Oryctolagus cuniculus: one gene and its partner. The protein of the gene in region 1 binds, or shares a complex with, the protein of each later gene. Links are inferred from orthologs where the notes say so. Each region holds a gene or a part of one and is shown in the gene's direction. Other genes may lie near its edges.

What was found.
Region 2: the proteins of FUZ (region 1) and CPLANE2 are in contact, whole or in part, in a cryo-EM structure (PDB 7Q3E), measured with the Mus musculus proteins. The link is inferred for Oryctolagus cuniculus from reciprocal best matches to the Homo sapiens genes FUZ and CPLANE2. Residues at the interface, in NP_081652.2 of Mus musculus: Arg26, Arg35, Ile109, Val110, Lys126, Glu127, Arg129, Ala130, Tyr132, Cys133, Asp136, Gln215, Ala216, Ala217, Arg218, Asp219, Tyr220, Pro221, Tyr223, Pro232, Leu238, Thr239, Leu240, Leu241, Arg242, Pro255, Leu256, Gly257, Gln258, Pro261; in NP_001074643.1 of Mus musculus: Glu36, Gly38, Leu39, Leu40, Glu41, Arg42, Val83, His84, His85, Glu86, Thr88, Gly89, Ile90, Gln91, Thr92, Thr93, Val94, Lys124, Phe125, Met128, Glu134.

The regions. Positions count from the first base shown.
Region 1 is NC_091449.1:7,737,116-7,746,790, forward strand, and holds FUZ (protein fuzzy homolog), read left to right. Parts: upstream 1-4,286; 5' UTR 4,287-4,544; coding exon 4,545-4,655; intron 4,656-4,832; coding exon 4,833-4,954; intron 4,955-5,626; coding exon 5,627-5,711; intron 5,712-5,787; coding exon 5,788-5,856; intron 5,857-5,944; coding exon 5,945-6,049; intron 6,050-6,353; coding exon 6,354-6,551; intron 6,552-6,639; coding exon 6,640-6,735; intron 6,736-6,835; coding exon 6,836-6,942; intron 6,943-7,015; coding exon 7,016-7,080; intron 7,081-7,191; coding exon 7,192-7,266; intron 7,267-7,730; coding exon 7,731-7,954; 3' UTR 7,955-8,166; downstream 8,167-9,675. Other genes in the region: MED25 (mediator of RNA polymerase II transcription subunit 25), read right to left, coding at 862-986, 1,075-1,120, 1,211-1,344; AP2A1 (AP-2 complex subunit alpha-1), read right to left, coding at 8,277-8,354, 8,573-8,707, 8,845-8,914, 8,992-9,108, 9,190-9,312. UniProt on the Homo sapiens protein: Probable planar cell polarity effector involved in cilium biogenesis. May regulate protein and membrane transport to the cilium.
Region 2 is NC_091438.1:153,430,951-153,440,484, forward strand, and holds the start of CPLANE2 (ciliogenesis and planar polarity effector 2), read left to right. Parts: upstream 1-4,083; 5' UTR 4,084-4,232; intron 4,233-4,504; 5' UTR 4,505-4,514; coding exon 4,515-4,626; intron 4,627-7,034; coding exon 7,035-7,187; intron 7,188-7,323; coding exon of another isoform or gene 7,324-7,439; coding exon 7,440-7,532; intron 7,533-7,663; coding exon 7,664-7,788; intron 7,789-8,005; coding exon 8,006-8,142; intron 8,143-8,338; coding exon 8,339-8,618; 3' UTR 8,619-9,534. UniProt on the Homo sapiens protein: Required for efficient primary cilia initiation, regulating a late step in cilia initiation. Plays a role in the final maturation of the mother centriole and ciliary vesicle that allows extension of the ciliary axoneme.

The DNA.
Region 1 (9,675 bases):
CGCCCGCTGCTGCTGCCCAAATGCGGGAGCCCAGAACCTGCCGAGAATCAGGTTTGCGGTGTTAGGTTTGGAGCTGGCCTGTTACGCAACCAGGGATAACACAACAAAAACCTCACACAGGAAACAGGCGTGTGGCTCAGAGGTTCAAGATTCCGGATAAGGGGGCTGGGCCTCCGCCTGCGGCACCGGCATCCCACAGGGACACCGGCTCATGTCCCGGGGCCCCTCTTCCGACCCAGCTCTCTGCCGTGGCCTGGGAAAGAGGCGGAAGATGGCCCAGGTGCTTGGGCCCTGCACCTGCGTGGGAGACCCGGCTCCGGATCGGCGCAGCTCCGGCCGCTGAGGCCATGTGGGGAGTGAACCAGCGGATGGACGACCCCTCTGTCTGTCCCTCTCTCTGGAACTCTGCTTCTCAAGTAATTAATAATTCCCGCTGAGACACGCAGACCGCACATCCCAGGGCCCGGCTTCCACGCTTGGCTCTGGCTGCCGACTCGGGCACACCCTAGCAGGCCGGGTGTGTGTGTGTGTGTGTGTGTGTGTGTGCGGGGTCCCTGCCCCGGGCCCAGCCACGGCAGGCAGCTGCGCAGGGACCCAGCGGACCGCAGCCTACCAGCTCCGTCTCCAGCACGGGTCACTAAACCAAAAGGCGCCCAGGCACCAGCAGCCCAGGCTGGGGCGGCACCCCGCCCCGCACCCCCCACGGGAGAGGCCAGGGCCGGAGCGCGCCGCGGAAGGGGTGCGGGCGCGCAGCCAGGCTCCCCGCGCCGGACGTCGTCCCCCTCCGCATCGGGGGGTACCCAGGGGACCCCCGCCCCGGCGCCGCCCGCCCCCGGGGACCCCCGCCCCGCCCGAGCTCACTTAATGCCGTCCAGCCAGCTGACGAACTCGTAGGCGCTGCTGGTGGGCGCGTGGCACTGCACGTACGACTCGGGGGCGCAGTCCACGGTGTTGAACACCACGAGGCTGTACTGGGTCCCCCCATACTGGCGGCCGGGAGACAGACAGAGGGCGGCCGTCAGCCTCCGCCGGGGCCGCGCGGCCCGCCCCCCGCCCGCCATTCCCGCCACTCACGTCTCCGCCGAAGTCCGTCTCGGCGGGCGGCCCACCGTTGAAGTACCTGCGGGGGTCGGAGGCGAGAGGCCGGGTCAGGCCGGAGGGGAACAGGCGCCGCGGGGCGGGGCGGGGCGGGCCGCGGGGGCGCACTCACTCGATGGCCGGCAGCAGGTAGTGCTTGCGGAGCGCCTCGAAGTAGGGCCCCAGGTTGGCCGTGCCCTCGATGACGAACACCACGTCGGCCACCAGGCCCCCGGCTCGGGCCGGGCCCTCCGACCCGGGGACCATGCCCCGCGCGGAACAGGGCGCCGCCGCCGCCGCCACCGCGGGACGAGCGGAAGTGCGCCTGCGCTGCGCGCGCACCCGCGCCGGGCGGCCTGGCGCCGCGGCGGGCGCGCCCGTGGCCATGTTTGTGCGGGGCACGCGGGGCTGCCGCGCTTCCTTTTCATCTTTCTTCACGCCCACTGCGTGGAGGGCTCAGAAGGGGCATCGCGAGCCCCTTCGGAGGCCTGACGGCGACAACGGAACTCCCTTCAGGACTCCCGAGAGCCGAATAAGTGGAAAGCGGCCCGGCCGGCCGCCATTTTTGAGCGGGGCGCTTGTTGACGACGCCGGTCTCGGGGGGGAGGGGCGGGAGGCCCGGTTGCTATGCAACGCGCACGCCGGCCTTGTTTTCCACCGCGGAGATTCAGTTTCCTTACGGGCGCGCGGGGGGAGGGGCGTGTGAGGGAGCCAATCACGTCGTCCCAAGCGCGGTTACCTGGCAACGCCGCGAGGTGGCCGTGAACTTGGAAGCGGGCGCCGCGGCTTTGCCTCGGAAAGGAAGCCGGGCGGCGGCCGGAGTGGGGGTTTCTAGGCAACGCGTGCGCGCGCGGCGTGCTGGGAGCTGGCGTCCCGGGACGGTGGATTGACACGGTCCGCGCGACAGAAGGGAACGCCGCGGCCGTGCGGGCGGGAAGCGCTTTTCACCTGTGTCGGCGGACGGTCACCACACACGTCGGCCTTAGCCGTCACAATTCAGAAACATTGGAATATTTCCTTTATTTATGTTTTTGGAAATAATGCATTTTTAAAAGTAGGAGCCTGAGCAGACCGCCCCGTGTCCCCCTGAAACGGCCCGTCCGCGGCTGCGAGCTGCCGGCCCCGCTAACGGAGTGTCCCGGCGCCGCCCGCGCTGCCCGGCGGAGTGACCGCGCCGCCATTGCTGGCCGGAGAGCGCGGACCGCTGCGTCCCTCCCGCCTCGCCCGTCCTCCTTCGCTTTGCGGAAGTCTTATTTTTCAGATTTATTTATCTGAGAGGCCGAGCGAGCGAGAGCGCCTGTCCCGTCCGCTGGTCACTCCCCAGAGGGCCGCAGCGGCCACCCAAGCCGGGAGCCCGGACCTCACGGCTCTTACATTTCTTTTAACCTAGAGCCGCTGCCTTCCGCTTCAGGCCATGCGATCCGATATTTTACAGAATCTGCCGTGCAGGGGCCGGCGCACTGCTGTAGCGGGGAAGCATCCGACAGGCCGCCGGTTCGAGTCCCGGCTGCTCCTCTTCCGCTCCGGCTCCCTGCCGCGGCCTGGGAGAGCACAGAAGACGGCCCAGGTGCTTGGGCCCTGCACCCGCGTGGGACACCCACGTGGGCCCCGGCTCCGGGCAGCCACGCGCAGGGAGCCCTGCGGGGAGGATCCGGATCTCCGCCGCCATCACTCTGCCTTTCAAACCTTTTTTTTTTTTCATTAAAAAAGGATCTTACTTGACTGTAACTCTGCCAAAATAAATACGTATATAGTAACATTTCAATGGCAATCACTAAAATTAAAAGAGAAATAAGTGTATAAATTTGAAATCAGAATAAGAATGGATTGAGAAAAAAATATTTAATCCAGAAAAAAGAGATAAAAAGCACTTTAGAATCGGAACAGAGGAGTCATAATAAAGGAAGGCAAGGAAAATTCACTGAAGACAGGGCGAAATTGATAGTCTATTTTTCAAATTATTCTTTGCATGTTTATTTTTTTGACAGGCAGAGTTAGAGAGACAGAGAGAAAGGTCTTCCTTTGCTGTTGGTTCACCCTCCAATGCCCGCCGCGGCCGGCGCACCGCGCTGATCCGATGGCAGGAGCCAGGTGCTTCTCCTGGTCTCCCATGGGGTGCAGGGCCCAAGCACTTGGGCCATCCTCCACTGCACTCCCTGGCCACAGCAGAGAGCTGGCCTGGAAGAGGGGCAACCGGGACAGAATCCGGCGCCCCGACCGGGACTAGAACCCGGTGTGCCGGCGCCGCAGGCGGAGGATTAGCCTAGTGAGCCGCGGCCGGCCAGCATGTTTCTTCCTCGGAAGTCTGGGACCTGATGGAACTCCCGGCCCCGGCTGCTCCTGTCCAGTGCTGGCCGCGGCAGGCACTGGGGGAGTGGCTCAGTGCATGGACGATGCCCCCCCACCGCCTTTCAAATATAAATAAATCTGAAAAAAAAGAAAAAACCCACATGGGAATGAACCTAATAGGTCAGTACAGGATTGCTCAAATGTCGCGGCCATAAATAACTGTAAGAAGACGTTTAAAAGTGGGATTTTATAAGTCTTGGTGGAGAAAGGGAACGTGAGGACGCTAGTGCGCGATGGCCTGTGAAGGCACGCCCGCTACCGCTCTCAGGGAGAGCAGCGGGAGAGGTGTCTTCACCAGCCCGCTGGGTGTAAACTCATCAAAAACAGTGTGTTTCAAATTCTGCACAAGAAAGGATCTATTTTTCCCTCTTTCTACTAACAACAACAACCCTCCCACGTGGCAGTTACTAGGCAACGCTCGGTGGGCCCAGCCTCCCTCGGAGGTGGGAGGGTGTTTTCCTCAATTTCGCCCTAAGAGGCTGCTCGGACTCCACACGCGTCCATCTTTGAGCAGGACACAGCTGTACAGCTTCGGCAGGCGTGGTTGCTAGGCGACCGCGCGGCGCTGTCGCCATCTTTGAGTGGGGCACGGTGTTGCCTATTATGAAAATCTGGACGGAACGTGGTTGCTAGGCAACGGCTTGGGGACGTCGCCATCTTTGATGGGGCATAGCTTTTTTTTTTTTTTCCAAGTTAGAGAACTTAATTCATAATAGCCTGCAGGATGGTTGCTGGGCAATGCCTTGGCACTGCAACCATTTGAAGCCAGCCTCTCTGTTGCCCTCGTTAAATAAATGAAGTCAAACCTCTTCGGGAAGAGACTACAAAGTTTTGCAGAAACAGCCGCCATCTTTATTAGGGGCATTGTGACTTCCGGCTGGGGCGGAAGAGAACCTGACGGGGTTGGCCGAGGGCTCCGGGATGAATAGGGATTGAGGTTCTGAGTTGCGTTGGAGGCGGCCGGAATTTAGTCCTTCTCCCATCGGCTTCCCCTTTCGCCCTCTGGCGTCTCGAGACTGCAGGCCGACTTAGTCTAGTTACCGGCCGGCTCAGAGCAGCTCTGGCCGCCCCACGGAGGGCTGCAGGGCCCGGGCCGGGGTCCGCAGGGGCTGTTCCCCATGGGCGAGGAGGGCACTGGGGGCGCCCTGCATCTGCTGTGCCTCGCGGCCAACAGCGGGGTCCCGCTGTTCTGTCGGAGCAGCCGCGGCGGCGCCCCCGCCCGCCAGCAGGTGGGGCCTCGGGACCTCGCGGGAGCTGGGCTGAGGAGGCTCCGGGGGCGTTTAAGGTCCCGCTCAGCCTGGTTCCCCAAAAAGGATATGAAAGGAGGAGGGGGCGAGGCTGGGACACTGGGGCTTCACAGTGAGGAGACAGGGCGGGGTGTCCCTAACGCCCCCACCCGTCCTCAGCTCCCGTTCTCTGTCATCGGCTCCCTCAATGGAGTGCACATGTTCGGGCAGAACCTGGAGGTGCAGCTGAGCTCTGCAAGGACTGAGGACACGACCGTGGTGTGGAGAAGCTTCCATGACAGGTCTCCAGGCGGGCGCAGGGGACAGGGCCCGGGTGACAGCCCTGGGGGACAGGGCCCGGGTGACGTACCTGGGGGCCCTCCAGGCGGGCGCAGGGGACAGGGCCCGGGTGATGGCCCTGGGGGACAGGGCCCGGGGTACGGCCCTGGGGGCCCTCCAGGCGGGACGCAGCGGGACAGAGCCTGGGGGACGGCCCCTGGGGGCCCTCCAGGCGGGACGCAGCGGGACAGGGCCCGGGTGACCGCCCCTGGGGGCCTTCCACACGGGACTTGCAGCCAGGGTCTGGGTGACGGCCCCTGGGGGCCCTCCAGGTGGGGCCTTGCTGCTGAGACGGGGCCTGGGTGATGGCCCTGGGGGCCCTCCAGGCGGGACACAGCGGGACAGGGCCCGGGTGACGGCCCCTGGGGGACAGGGCCCGGGTGACCGCCCCTGGGGGCCTTCCACGCGGGACTTGCAGCCAGGGCCCGGGTGACCGCCCCTGGGGGCCTTCCACGCGGGACTTGCAGCCAGGGCCTGGGGGCGCCCCTGGGGGCCTGCGGCTCTTGCAGGCGAGCTGTTTGGCTGTGGGGACGCGCAAGCCCGTTGCCCCGCCCCGCCCGAGGGCAGGCCGGGCTGAGGGCGGAGGCAGCCGCCGCCCCGGGACGCGCGTCCATCTTCTCCCGCGCCCTCCGCAGCATCACTCTCATCGCGCTGTGCTCTGAGGACGGCGCCTCGGAGCTGCGGCTGGAGCGACTGCTCCACGTGGTGTTCGGGGCCATGGTGAGTCTCGCCAAGCCCCGCCCCCTCGTGCGTGGCTCCTCCCCCAGCCCTCCTCGGACACGCGTGGCTCCTCCAGGTGCTCCTGGTGGGGCTGGAAGAACTGACCAGCGTCCGCAACGTGGAGAGGCTCAAGAAGGAGCTGAGGGTGAGGGGCGCGGGGGCGCCTGTTCCTGAGGGGCTGTGGCACATCTCGGGGCCACCTGGGTCTCAGCCACCCCCCCCCCCCCCGCCAGGCCAGCTACTGCCTCATCGACAGCTTCCTGGGGCACTCGGAGCTCATCGGGGACCTGACCCAGTGTGTGGACTGCGTGGTCCCCCCGGAGGGCGCCCTCCTGCAGGTACGGAGGGGCTCGGGCTCGTCCCGGTGGGTCTGGCCCGGCCCCCTTCCCCCTGGGCCCCGTCCCCACCTGCTTCTACCTCTCGCCCTCACCTGGCCCCAGAAAAGCCTGTCTACACCCAGAGCTTGTCCTGCCGGCCGCTCAGCCCCAGGCCACACCGCAGCCCGGCCGCGCGCTCTCCCTCCCACCTGGCGAGGCCACACTGCGGCTCCGGGCAGGTGGGCCGACCCCTCAGCCTCAGTCCACGGCGCGCGCCGCGAGTCCCCGGAGCCCCCTGCCCACGAGTGCCCACGCCCTCCCCCAGGAAGCCCTGTCCGGCTTCGCCGAGGCCGCGGGCACGGCCTTCGCCTGTCTGCTGACGTCCGGCCGGGTGGTGGCGGCGACAGAGGGCTGGTGGCGGCTGGGGACGCCCGAGGCCGTGCTGCTGCCCTGGATGGTGGCGTCCCTGGCGCCGCAGGCCGCGCGAGACTACCCGGTGTACCTGCCCCACGGGAGTCCCACGGTGAGCGGGCGGGTGGGCGCCGGCGGGGCGGGGGGGGGGGCGGGGCGGGGGGCGGCGGCGGGGGCTGCCACGCTGGGCTCTGCTTCAGGTCCCGCACCGGCTCCTGACGCTGACGCTGCTGCCCGGCTTGGAGCTGTGTCTGCTCTGCGGGCCGCGCCCGGCGCTGGGCCAGCTGGACCCACAGGTGACCCCCTGCCCCACCCCGCGCGCGCCGGCCCCGCCCCCAGCTCCCCCTCCCCTCCCGGCCCCGCCCCCGCGCGCCCCTCTGACCGCGCCCCCTGCAGCTCCTGGACCGCTGGTGGCAGCCTCTGCTGGACCCGCTGCGCGCCTGCCTGCCCCTGGGCCGCCGGGCGCTGCCCGCCGGCTTCCCGCTGCACACGGACGTCCTCGGGTAGGGCGCGGCGCGGCGCGGCGGCGGGCGGGGCCCGCATCCCCGTCCCTGGCGTGACGCCCCCTCCCCACAGGCTGCTGCTGCTCCACCTGGACCTGAAGCGCTGCCTCTTCACCGTGGAGCCCTTGGCGGATGAAGGTGGCCAAGGGGAGGGGCGGGGGCGGGAGGAGGGGTAGGGGGCGGGGCGGGGCGGGGCGGGGCGGGGCGGGGCGGGCCCTCCCTCCCTCACCCTGCCGTCCCTCCCCCCAGACCCTCCCCCGGAGCAGCGCCGGCGCCTCCTCCGCAACTTCTACGCCCTGGTCACAGCCACGCACTTCCCGCCAGGTCAGTGCCGGGCAGGGCTGGCCCTGCAGGGGAGCAGGACACAGGGAGGTCCGTGCCGTCTCCCGGCGGCCCTGGGTCGCCCCAGCACAGCCTCCTGCGTGAGGCTCAGCTACCGGCACGGCCTGGGCAGGGGTGGGGTGGGCGTGGAGCGCGGCTTCGGGTTAGGAAGGACAAACTGACTAGAGCCCACTGGCCTGAGACCCGGGAGGCCGCCTTGGGCAGCGGGGCGGGTGGGGAGGCAGTGGGCGGGGCCCTGCCCGGGGGCGGGGCTCCCGGCCCGGTGTCCAGCACCAGCGGGCATCACTAGGCGGCCTGAGGCGGGCAGGGCCCCCGCTGGGCAGGGGCGGGCGCTGCGGAGGGGCCGCCCAGGGCTTCCCTGCGCTCACCGGCACCCGAGGCCCTGCAGAGCCGGGGCCGCAGCTCCCGCCCGTCCAGCCCCTCAGCCGCCCCCGTCCCCTCCCCAGAGCCAGGGTCAGTGGAGAAGGCGGAGGACCGCGCCCACCACGCCCAGCTGCCCAGAGCCTGCTACCTGGTGTTGGGGCCCGAGCAGCCCGGCCAGGGCTGGCGCCTGGTGGCTCTGCAGCTGGGGCCGCGGCGGCTGCTGCTGCTGCTGTCCCCGCAGAGCCCCACCCACGGGCTGCGGAGCCTGGCCACCCACACCCTGCACGCCCTCACCCCGCTCCTGTAGTCTCTCTGTTTATTCGCTCACAATAATACACAGCCCCTGGCCGGGGAGGGGCGGGAGGGGCTACAACAGGAGGGTGGGAGGGGAGGAGGCACCCGCTTCCCTGGCCTCTCTCCCCTCTGTGCTTGGGGGCGACGGGAGGGAGGGGGCTCCCCCTCGCCCCCCAGAATGTAAACAGCAGCAGATGAACAAAAATAAAAGTACGAGAGGCCGGAGGCCGGGCCAGGCGTCTCCCCGCCCCGGGGTCTCCCCGTCACCAGTGCAGGGCCGCGCTGCCCCGTCCACCAGGGCCGTCTCAGTCCTAGGCCTCCGGGCGCCGCCGGGCTCAGAACTGCTGGGCCAGCAGCTCGCACAGGTGGCGGGAGACGGGCTCCTTGCTGGTGCGCAGGGTCAGGCGGTACATCTGGGGGGGGACCGAGGAGCACTCAGGGGGCGGGGCAGGCCGCAGCGTGAAGGGGCGGGACGGAGACCCGGGGCAGGGGGAGATGACCAGGGGAGGGAGGCGGTGGGGGCACCGGCCAGAGCAGCCGGCCAGGGCCAAGGCGTTGGCGGAAGCGACTGAAGGCACAGGGCGAGGTGGGAGGGGAGGCCCCGGGAACAGACACGCCCCCCAATGCTCACCTGAGCCTGCGCGTTGGGCTCCAACCGGAGCAGACAGCCCACCTGCAGGGCCTTAGTCTGGATGATTCCGGCGCCCACGAAGTTCTCGGGGTTGGGGTCCACATTGTCCAGGAGGGCAGAGCCGAACCCCAGAAGCTGGGCGGGCGGGGAGCAGCCGTGAGAGAGCGAGGGGGTGTCCCACTCCCAGAAACCCTGGGCCAGAGCCGGCCCCACTCCCGGAGGGAAACAGGCCCAGAGCAGTGGTGGGGCCGCGCCCCCACGCGCCCCCTCACCTTGGCCTTGGTAACTTCCGCATCCATGGGGTGGTTGGCTTTGAAGATCTTCTGAGCCTCCTGTAAGGGCCTGGGGGTGTGCAAGGCGGCCGTCAGGGGCCTGTGCGCAGGGCCCCACCACCGCGCGGGGCTCCGCCCCCAACTCACAGGCTCAGCTGCTTCCAGCGCTGGAAGAAGTCCTGGGCCGCCATCTCTGTGGGCTGGAAGAACTTGTTGATGGTCACCGGGAGCTTCAAGGTGAGGGACTGGGGGGCGCCCCCATAGCTAGCGAGGGAGGAAGGCCGACTCCATGAGGCCCTGCCCCTTGTCCCAGAAGCCCGCCCGGGAGGCTCCACCCCAACTCACCGGAAACGCACGGACAGCAAGGGGGGCGTCAGGAAGTCCCGCAGACACTCGATGTTGAGCACCTGCTGCACCTGCGCCCCACCGTCCACCTGCGCTGCCACGCGCTTGGTCTGAACGGCCAGCTGTGGCCGCCGGGGTCAAGGAAGCCAGGGACAGAGGCCGGCTCCGGGCCTTTGAGGGGCCCCTCCGCGCAATCCCAGACCCTCCCTCGGAAGCACAGCTCCGCAGTCCTCCACTAGAGACCTCGGACACACAGCATCCTGGCGACCTCTGGGTCTCACGTGCGGGCGCCGGCTCCGCGGGCTGACCTGGTTTAAGTCCTGCCCAGCGCTCGCCACCTGCTGCGTGTGGGCAAGCTCCTCACCCCCCCCCCCCCCGCCTCATCTGCAAGCAGTGAGCTTGTCTCCTACGGTGTGGCCCACAGCAAGTGCGCCAAGATGGCGGCCACTGGTGTCGTCCCCACCCTCCGCATGCACACCTCTGGGA
Region 2 (9,534 bases), on another chromosome or scaffold:
TATAAGTGAAACGGCAGTGTTGGAACCAGCCTCAAAGATGGGCGGTTCAGCAGGAGCAGCCAAGAATTGTCCACCGGTTGAATGGGTGTGATTCCCCCACAGGCCACATGGGGGCACCCTGTGGAAGGCTTTGAGTCCGCAGCGTTTCAGATCTTGAGAAGGCAATGGAAGGACTGAAGAGTGTGTGCCCGTTTCTTCTGCCCTCTGCAACCTGGGTGGTGCCCCCTCCCTGGCCTCTGACTCCCAAGCACGGTCCCCCCAGGCTGGCTCTCCTGCCTTCTCTGCCCCAGCCCCCAGCTGTGGGAAAGTCAATGCGTTCCCCACAAGCTGGGCTCTGGGCCCAGACCCTGTCAGCGTGCACAAAGCAAAGCTGATGTCTTAAGTAGATGCCTAAAAGTCCTAGCAAAGTGCTCCTCCCCCCGGGCAGCCCTGGAAGGAAGGGGGCGGGCAGTCACAGCAGCGCATGGGCAGTGGGGTCTGCAAAGCCAGGGCAGTGGGGACTGGCCTGGGGATCGCTTCCAGTGCATCTGCTGAGCCCCGAGGCACTGGGACACAGGGAGGGCATTCCTGGAGGAGCCCACCACCTCATCCCAAAGCAGAGACGTGCCACGTTGGCCAAACAAGAATGGCAGATCCTGGGGCCTGCCTTGTGACACAGCAGGTCAAGCCGGCATCCCAGAGGAGCCGGTTCAAGTCCTGGCCACTCCAGTTCCTATCCAGCTCCCTGCCAGTGCTCCTGGGAAGCACTGAAGGTGGCCCAAGAGTTTGGACCTCTCCCACCTGTGTGTGAAACCCAAATGGAGTTACAGGATCTGGCTTCTGCCTGGCCCGGCCCCTGCTGTTGTGGCCATTTGGGGAATGAACCAGCAACTGAAAGATATTTAAGATTTCTCTCTGTCTTTCCGTAACTATTTAAAATAAATATTTAAAAAAATTTCCTGAGCTGCTCAGGAAAGATGGAGTTGCACCCGTGTACAGCCGGCACAGCCAGCCAGGGGCAGGAGGGTTGTTGCGGAAGCCGGAGAGCTAAGTCCGCCCCTTGCGTGGGCGTCTCAGTCCAGCACCACAGACAGGGTAATTCACGAGCGGCAGATGCATTTCTTACCGTTCGAGAGGGCAGGGGCTCCAGGATCAAGGCGCCAGCAGCTCTGAAGTCCACTGAGGGCCCTGTCTGTTTCCAAGGTGGCACCTTGGTGCTGCTGCGTCAGGGGCCCTGTGTGTGTGTGTGTGTGTGTGTGTGTGTGTGTGTGTGTGTGTGTGGAGGGGACAGAAGAGGCAAACCTGTCCCCGCCAGCCTTTTTATAAGGTCACTAATCCCAATCGCCTCGAAGACCCTACCTCTTAAAACTGTCACACTGGAGATTCAGTTTCTTTTTTTTCTTTTTTTCTTTTTTTTTTTTTAAGATTTATTTATTTGAAAGAGTTACAGAGAGAGAGGAGAGGCAGAGAGAGAGAGAGCTTCCATCTGCTGGTTCACTCCCCAAATGGCTGCAACGGCCAGAGCTGCGCCCATCCGAAGCCAGGAGCTTCTTCCAGATCTCTCACATGGGTGCAGGGGCCCAAGCACTTGGGCCATCTTCTACTGCTTTCCCAGGCCACAGCAGAGAGCTGGATTGGAAGTGGAGCAGCCGGGACTCAAACCAGCACCCACATGGGATGCCAGCACTGCAGGCAGTGGCTTTATCCACTACGCCACAGTGCCAGCCCTGATTCAGTTTCAACCGACGGATTTATAGTTTTATTAAGACAAAAACTGACAGTGTGATATGAAGTTTACATTTAAGCAGACTTTTCACAGAAACCTAACACATGCCTACAGAGATTTACAGTGTCGCTCCCAATAGGTCTAGACCATGTCCTCACAGATTTGTGAGGACATCAGATCATAGCCACACCTTGCTAAACTGGTAGGGGCAGATGAGGGCGGCTTTTCTTGGGGGTCCCTGGTGGGCACCACCCAGGCCTCGCCTTCCAGTCAGCGATGCAGGATGTTGATGGCTTCGTGGCATCAGGAAAGACAGACTTCCCATGTTCCAGGCAGAGGGTTGTGGGAGGCGCAGCACACCCAAGGCAGCCTGTGGCCGGGGTCGATGGCACTGTCGAGTGACCTGTGCCGGTGTGATGGCCAGAGGTCATCTGCTCAGATGTAGCCAGGGGAAGAAGCCCATCAGAACCTGCGGTGGGGGGAGAGACCAGCGCAGCCAGGGCCATGGCAGAAGGGAGAGTTCTCTGTGGAGCCAAGGCACTGAGAGGCGGCATCCAAGGAGGGCTGACCTCCGCACCTGTGCGTCCCGGGCAGGGGTGCGTCTCCCCGAGGGGGAGAGGAAAGGAAACAACCCTGAGGACACTGTTGGAATTGTGGAGCAGCAGTTGTGGCACAGCGGGCCACACTGCTGGGGATGCCCCTGTCCCACGCTGAAATTCCTGGCTTGAGTCCAGGTTTTTCTGCTTCAGGTCGAGCTTCCTGCGAATGCGCACCCTGGGAGGCGGCAGGTGATGGCTCAAGTGCTTGGGTCCCTGCCGCCCACGTCGGGGACCAGGATGGAGGTCCTGGCTCCTGACTTTGTCCTGACCCAGCCCTGGCTGTTGAGGCCATTTGGGGAGTGACCCAGTGGGTGGAAGGTCTGTGAATAACCCTGCCTCTGAGTGAATGGGCTATAAGAGCCGTGCAGGTGAGCCGGGCGTCTGGGCGAGGAATGGCTCCTTGCGCCTCTGCCTCGCTGTGGGGCAAGCAGGATGGGGGACAGCACCCTGTCTTCGCATCCTTGTCCCCTCCCACCCCCCCGGTGGGCCTCCATGATTTGTGGGTTGCTGGCCCCCTGGCTGATTCCAGCCTCACTGGGAACAGCCCTTCTGGTGGCTGGGGCAAAGTTTTTGGTTTTCTTTTTAAAAAAGATCTATTTTAGTTATTTGGAAGGCAGAGTTACTGAGAGGGAGAGACACAGATCTGCTGGTTCACTCCCCAGATGGCCACAATGGCTGCGGCTGGGCCTGAGCCAGGCAGAAGCCAGGAGCTTCTTCTGGGTCTCCCACATGGGTGCAGGGGCCCAAGCACCTGGGCCATCCTCCACTGCTTTCCCAGGCATATTAGCAGGGAGCTGAATTGGAAGTGGAGCAGCCAGGACTTGAACCAGCACCCTTATTGATACTGGCATCGCAGGCAGTGGCTTCACCTACTATGCCACAGCACTCGCCCTGGGGCAAAGTTTTGTGTTTTTTTTTTTTTTTTTTTTTTTTAATTATTTATTTGAAAGGCAGAGTTGTAGAGAGGCAGAGGCAGAGAGAGAGAGGTCTTCCCTCTGCTGGTTCACTCCCCAAATGGCTGCAACGGCCGGAGCTGCGCCGATCTGAAGCCAGGAGCCAGGAGCTTCCGCCGGGTCTCCCACGCAGGTGCAGGGACCCAAGCATTTGATCCATCTTCCACTGCTTTCCCAGGCCACAGAAGAGAGCTGGATCAGAAGTGGAGCAGCCGGGACCCGAACCGGCGCCATATGGGATGCCGACACTCAGACGGCGGCTTTCCCCACTGCGCCACAGCGCCGGTCCCGGCAAAGTTTTTAAAAACCTGAAACCCAGTATGGGGAAACAGACATGGACTGCTACGTGACTGAGGGAGAATGCCATTGCTCCAGGCTGCTTTATAAATGAGGCGACCTCTACAGCCCTCGCTGCTGGCACAGCCCTTCAGTGAACGGGAACTCCTAGGTCAGGCTTAGCAAGGCAGGCACACGCGCGACTCGAAGGCACTGCAGGAAATCGACGACAAACTGATGGACAGCGTTCGCCGAGCGGCCCCTCCGCAGCCGGTGCACCCAGCGGGCGTTGGCGCCGCCGGCCCACTGCCCGGCGTCCAGCAGTGGCGCGGGGCCGCAGGCTGGGAGCTGGGAGGTCCGCCGCAGGCGGGCAGGCGCTGGTCCGCGCTGGCGTTCCCAGCTTCGGAGCGGCAAGGAAGGGCCCTGGGCGGAGGCCCCGACCTGACGTCACCGCCCGCGGGCTCGGGCGCCCAACCGCCGCGCAGCGGCCGGCGTTAGCGGGCCCCGCCCCGGCGTCCCCATGGCAACGGCCTCTGCACATGCGTCCTGAGCCCCGGCGCCTGGCCGGGCGGCGCGCGCGCCGAAGCCGGACGCAGGCCTGGCGGAAGCGGACCCGGCGGGCCGGGCAGGGAGCTCAGCGCAAGGCTTTTAAAGAGACCGTCGCCACCGAGGCGTTCTCGCCAGCGCGTGTGGCTGACGGTGAGAGCTGGGGGGTGGCTCCCGGAGTCGGAACCCAGGAGGGAGAGGAGCAGGGCTGTGTGACCCCCGAAAACGGCTCCCGCTCCCCCTGCCCAGGGAAATAAAGGGATGACTCCCCGGGGCGGGGTGCGGGGTGACACGGAGGAGGGGGCGCTCGGAACTGCGCCCTCTGCGCTGGGAGAGGCGGAGGGGACTAAGAGGGGTCCCGGGTCCCCTCTCCCCCCCTGCCCGCTCTCAGCACCCTGCCGCCCCCTCCCACCCACCCCCGCCAGGGTGCCCAGCATGGCTCGCCCGCCCGCGCCCGGCTCGGCCATTGTCCCAGACTGGCACGAGAGCCCCGAGGGCAAGGAGTTCCTGGCCTGCGTCCTGCGCAGGAGCCGCCGGCGGCTGTTCGGTGAGTGCCCGCGGCCGCGCGTCCCTCCGTGGGGAGCCTGCGCCCTCGCGTGCTCAGCCGTGGGCCCCCGGGACCCTGATCCCTCAGCGGATTCCACCGTCGGGGCCAGGAGCACGGGAACAGCCCAAATCCCGCCCAGCGCGGCGGCCGCGGCGGACACGCTGACCGCGGGGGCACCTCGCGCTCCCCGCGCGGATCGCGCCCCGACCCCTGGTCTGTGTCTGTGGGAGAAGACGCAGCTCCCCAGGACGGAGCCAGCGCCAGCGCGCCCCAAGGTCTGGGCCCGCACGTTAGAAGCTGCCAGCCCTTAGCCCGCAGAGCTGCGTGCACACATCCGGGGCTCTGCGCGGCTGATTGGTGGTAACTGAGACACTTTCGTAAGGAAGGCGTCGTGGAAGGCCGTGCTCTTCTATCGAGGAATTCCAACACGTGTGTTAGTGGTGCCAGCGAGAACCATCTCATGCATCACTCTTCAAATAGGGGTTAAAGCCCTGGCCTGAAGCGCCGGCATCCCATATGGGCGCTGGTTCTAGTCCCCGCTGCTCCTCTTCCAGTCCAGCTCTCTGCTGTGGCCCGGGAAGGCAGTGGAGGATGGCCCAAGACCTTGGGCCCTGCACCCACCCACATGGGAGACCAGGAGGAAGCACCTGGCTCCTGGCTTCGGATCGGCGCAGCTCCGACCGTAGTGGCCATTTGGGGGGTGAACCAATGGAAGGAAGACCTTTCTCTCTCTCTCACTGTCTAACTCTGCCTGTAAAAAAAAAAAAAAAAAAAAAAAAAAAACACCTGGGTATTACTTGGAGTGGGCCAAGGCCCAGCCTGTAGCGCTAGTGTGGGGGCAGACCCTGTCCTCCAGGGTCCTGTTCAAGGGCAGAGTCTGCCCCAGGGGCCTCTGGACAGCAGGAGATGCCAGTGCTGCAGTGCAGGGGCCGCACTGAGTGGCAAAGGACCAGAGTCCTCTGAGCCTTTGTGTCCAAGCTCCAGGGTTTCCAAACCAGACCTTGAGCGGCTGATGGGCTGTCCTGATCCTAGGAACCTCAGGTGGTGATCCTTGTGCCTTTGGTCGCTGGGCTTAAGCCCTTTGCTACACGTGATAGGTAATGAACCGAAGTTTGTGGGTAAGGGTAACTCTTATTTATTAATTTTTTTAGAAGTTGGTCAAATTCAAAGTATGACTTTCGCCTGTGGCCACTGAAACTTTACTTCCTGTGGGCTGGGCTGGAGGGAGGGTCACCCAGACCCCACCACTGCCTAGCCCTGCGACCATGAATAACTCAGGTCTGTCCTCTGTAAAGTGGGTGTCCACAGTGTTTGCCCCATAGAGCACCCGAGGAAGGGAAGGAGGCACACGTGGACGCCGCCCCGAGCAGGGCCCACCGAGGGTCACCTGTCACTGCCCCTGCGGCTGTGTGCGAGTAGGTGGAGCCGATGTCCTGGGAGTAACACAGAGCCACTGTTTCCTGGACCACAGTCAGGGTCAAGTTGCTGGACTGGCGGAAAGTGGTGACTTTGCAGTGTTTTCACCAGCAAATGCCATGAGGGTTTTTTTTTTTTTTTTTTTTAAGATTTTACTTATTTATTTGAGAGGTAGAGTTACATACAGTGAGAGGAAGAGACAGAGACAAAGGTCTTCCATCCACTGGTTTACTCCCCAAATGACCGCAATGGCCAGAGCTGAGCCAATCCAAAGCCAGGAGCTTCCTCCAGGCCCACGCAGGTGCAGGGGCCAAGTGCTTGGGCCATCTTCTGCTGCTTTCCCAGGCCATAGCAGAGAGCTGGATCAGAAGAGGAGCAGCCGGGACTGGAACCGGCGCCCACATGGGATGCTGGCGCTTCAGGCAGAGGATGAACCTCCTGCGCCACAGCGCCTAAGGTCCTTAACCGCTGAGCATACCCACCTGAGTGTGTCATTATGACCCCTGACCCCTGACCCCCGCCCAGAAAGGTCGAGAACAGCGAAGAACTACCAGCGGATCCACTGCAGGAACGGAGGCCGGTCTCTTCGTGTCTCAGGCTTCCGTAAAGCTGGCGTGAGAGCGTCTGGCCTAGAAGTGGTGCCGGGTTAGGACACCTGCGTCCCAGCCTGCAGTGCCTGAGTTTCATCCCCAGCTCAGCGCAGGGAGGCAGCAGATGAGGCACAGGGAGGCTCAGGCAGTGGGGTCCCTGGTCCCTGCCACGGGCTGAGCCTTCAGTTCCTGACCCCGGCCCCGGCCCGGCCGCAGCAGATGCTTAGAGAGGAGTCGAGGGGGTCTCTCTCCTTGCCTGTCTCTCACTGGGATAAATGTTGACACCCACGAAAGGGGGGTCAGCCCTGAAGACGCCCGTGGAGGTGCGGTTGTCCGTCCTGGGGTCCCAGGCGGCAGGTGCACGGTTGGCCCTCTGACCCTCTGCTGCCCTCCGTACACCAGGGCTGCTTGAACGGCCAGTGCTGCCCCCGTCTGTGGCCATTGACACTGCCAGCTACAAGGTCTTCGTGTCTGGGAAGAGTGGCGTGGGCAAGACAGCGCTGGTGGCCAAGCTGGCCGGCCTGGAGGTGCCGACGGCGCACCACGAGACCATCGGTGAGTGAGTGCGGCCCCACCCTTTGCCCACCTTCCAGGCCTCCTGGGGTGGACGAAGTGACCTGGTCCTGGGCCGAGTGAGCCAGGCTTCATCGCCTTCACGGCCGCCCTGAGCGCCGCTTTTCCTCTCTGACAGAGCCTTCCTTGGCTCCTCTGTCCCCAGCGGGTAGCGGTACCAAGCCCGTGGGCTGCTGCTGGAGACGCGGCGGGCACCCCGGAAAGGCCCAGCTTCCTTGTGTCTTCCCGCTGGAGGCTGCACGGCCCCTGGTGCCCCGGGTGTGGGCCCTGTGCAGGCAGGGACGCTGCTTCGGCACAGCCAGGGCTCCCAGGCCGGAATTCTCCCAGGTCAGGGGCTGTGCCTGCCCCCATCAGACCAGGGCTACCCCCGCGGGGAGGTATCTCCTTCTTCCTCCTTCCTGGTCCCCCTCCCCCCTCCCCCCTCCCCATGCTGAACAGCCGACCTCTGCCCTCCTCAGGGATCCAGACCACCGTGGTGTTTTGGCCGGCCAAGCTGCAGGCCAGTGACCGTGTCGTCATGTTCCGCTTTGAGTTCTGGGACTGCGGCGAGGCGGCGCTCAGAAAGTTCGACCACATGCTGCCGGTGAGCGGGGGCGCCCTGGGCAAGCTGCTGAGTCAGGGGCAGGAGCGAGCAGGCCAGGGACTGGGTCCCCGCCGGCGCTCTGCCCTGGGCCAGCCGCTCCCTGCTCCCGGCCTCGGCTTCCCTCCTGTGCAGGGAGGATTGCTAGTCAGGGCCCTGCCACGGGTGGAGGGCTCGGCGCTGTGGCGCGCGGCCTGTGAGTCGGCCTCTCCACCCCCAGGCCTGCAAGGAGAACACAGACGCCTTCCTCTTCCTCTTCTCCTTCACCGACCGTGCCTCCTTCGAAGACCTCCCGGGCCAGCTGGCCCGTGTCGCGGGCGAGGCCCCTGCTGTTGTCAGGATGGTCATTGGCTCCAAGTATCCTCTGGGCGGCCCCTGGGACTATCAGGCTGTCCTTGGCCGGGCGCCGGGCAGAGGGTCAGGGACCTTGGCTCCGCCCTGCCATGGGCTTTTCCTTCCCACGTGCAGCAGGGGTAGGGGTGGGGCTCCGGGAGGAGGCAGGCTGGGGGGCTGGCGCAGAGCCCCCCGGGTGGATTCCTTGACCCTCCTGCAGGTTTGACCAGTACATGCACACAGACGTGCCCGAGCGCGACCTCACGGCCTTCCGGCAGGCCTGGGAGCTGCCCCTGTTGCGGGTGAAGAGTGTGCCCGGGCGGCGACTGGCCGACGGGCGCACGCTGGACGGCTGGGCCGGGCTGGCTGACGTCGCCCACGTGCTCAACGGGCTCGCCGAGCAGCTGTGGCACCAGGATCAGGTGGCTGCCGGCCTGCTTCCCAACCCGCAGAGAGCGCCGCCGGCTGAGGAGGGTGGCATCACGAGTGGGCACCCGTGACCCCACTCCCGACCCTGACCCACGAGGGAGGACAGGGCCCGGCGGCTAAGGCCGGACAACAGTGTGACCTCATCCTCAGGACTGGCCCGGGAGGCCTGGGCGGGGAGGGCGGGGCCTGAGAAGGCGCCCGCCCCAGAGGGCCCTCCTTGCAGGATTCAGGGTGACAGCGAGGTGGGGGCTACCCTGGAGCTCAGACTCCTCCCCCAGCCACCCCCACCCTTTCCCATGGGCCAGCACCCACGGACCACGGGGAGGGCACAGCAGGGTCCTGGACCTCAAGTGGCTTTGACCAAGAGCCTGGATTGGGGTGGGCTCAGCAGGTGAGTCGCCACCTGGGACAGCCGCATCCCGAAATGGAGTGCGCGGCTTCAAGTTTCACTCCACTTCCGCCTCAGCTTCCCGCTGATGTGATGGCCCAGGTACTTGGGTCCCTGCCACCCCCATGGGAGACCCCTATTGAGTTCCAGTTTCCTGGCTCCAGTCTGGGCCAACCTCAGCTTCTGCCAGTGTTTGGGGAGTGAACAAGCAGATGGATACGTCTCTGTCTCTCTTTCCCTATCTTTATGGCTCTGCCTTTCAAATAAATATGAACAGATAACATCAGGGGCCGGGTTGGGCCACCGTCTAGGATGCCAACATCCCATATGAGTGCCGGGTCAAGTCCCGGCCGCTCCACTTCCCACCCAGCTCCCTGCTAATGCACCTGAGAAAGCAGCAGAAGATGGCCCAGATAATTGGGCCTGCCACCCACGGGGAGACCCGGGTGAAGCTCCAGGCTCCTGACTTTGGCCTAGCACAGCCTTGGCTGCTGTGGCCATTTGGGGAGTGAACCAATGGGTAGAAGATCTCTCTGTCTCTCCCTCTCCCCCTCTCTCACTGTAACTCTGACTTTAACACACACACACACACACAAAAC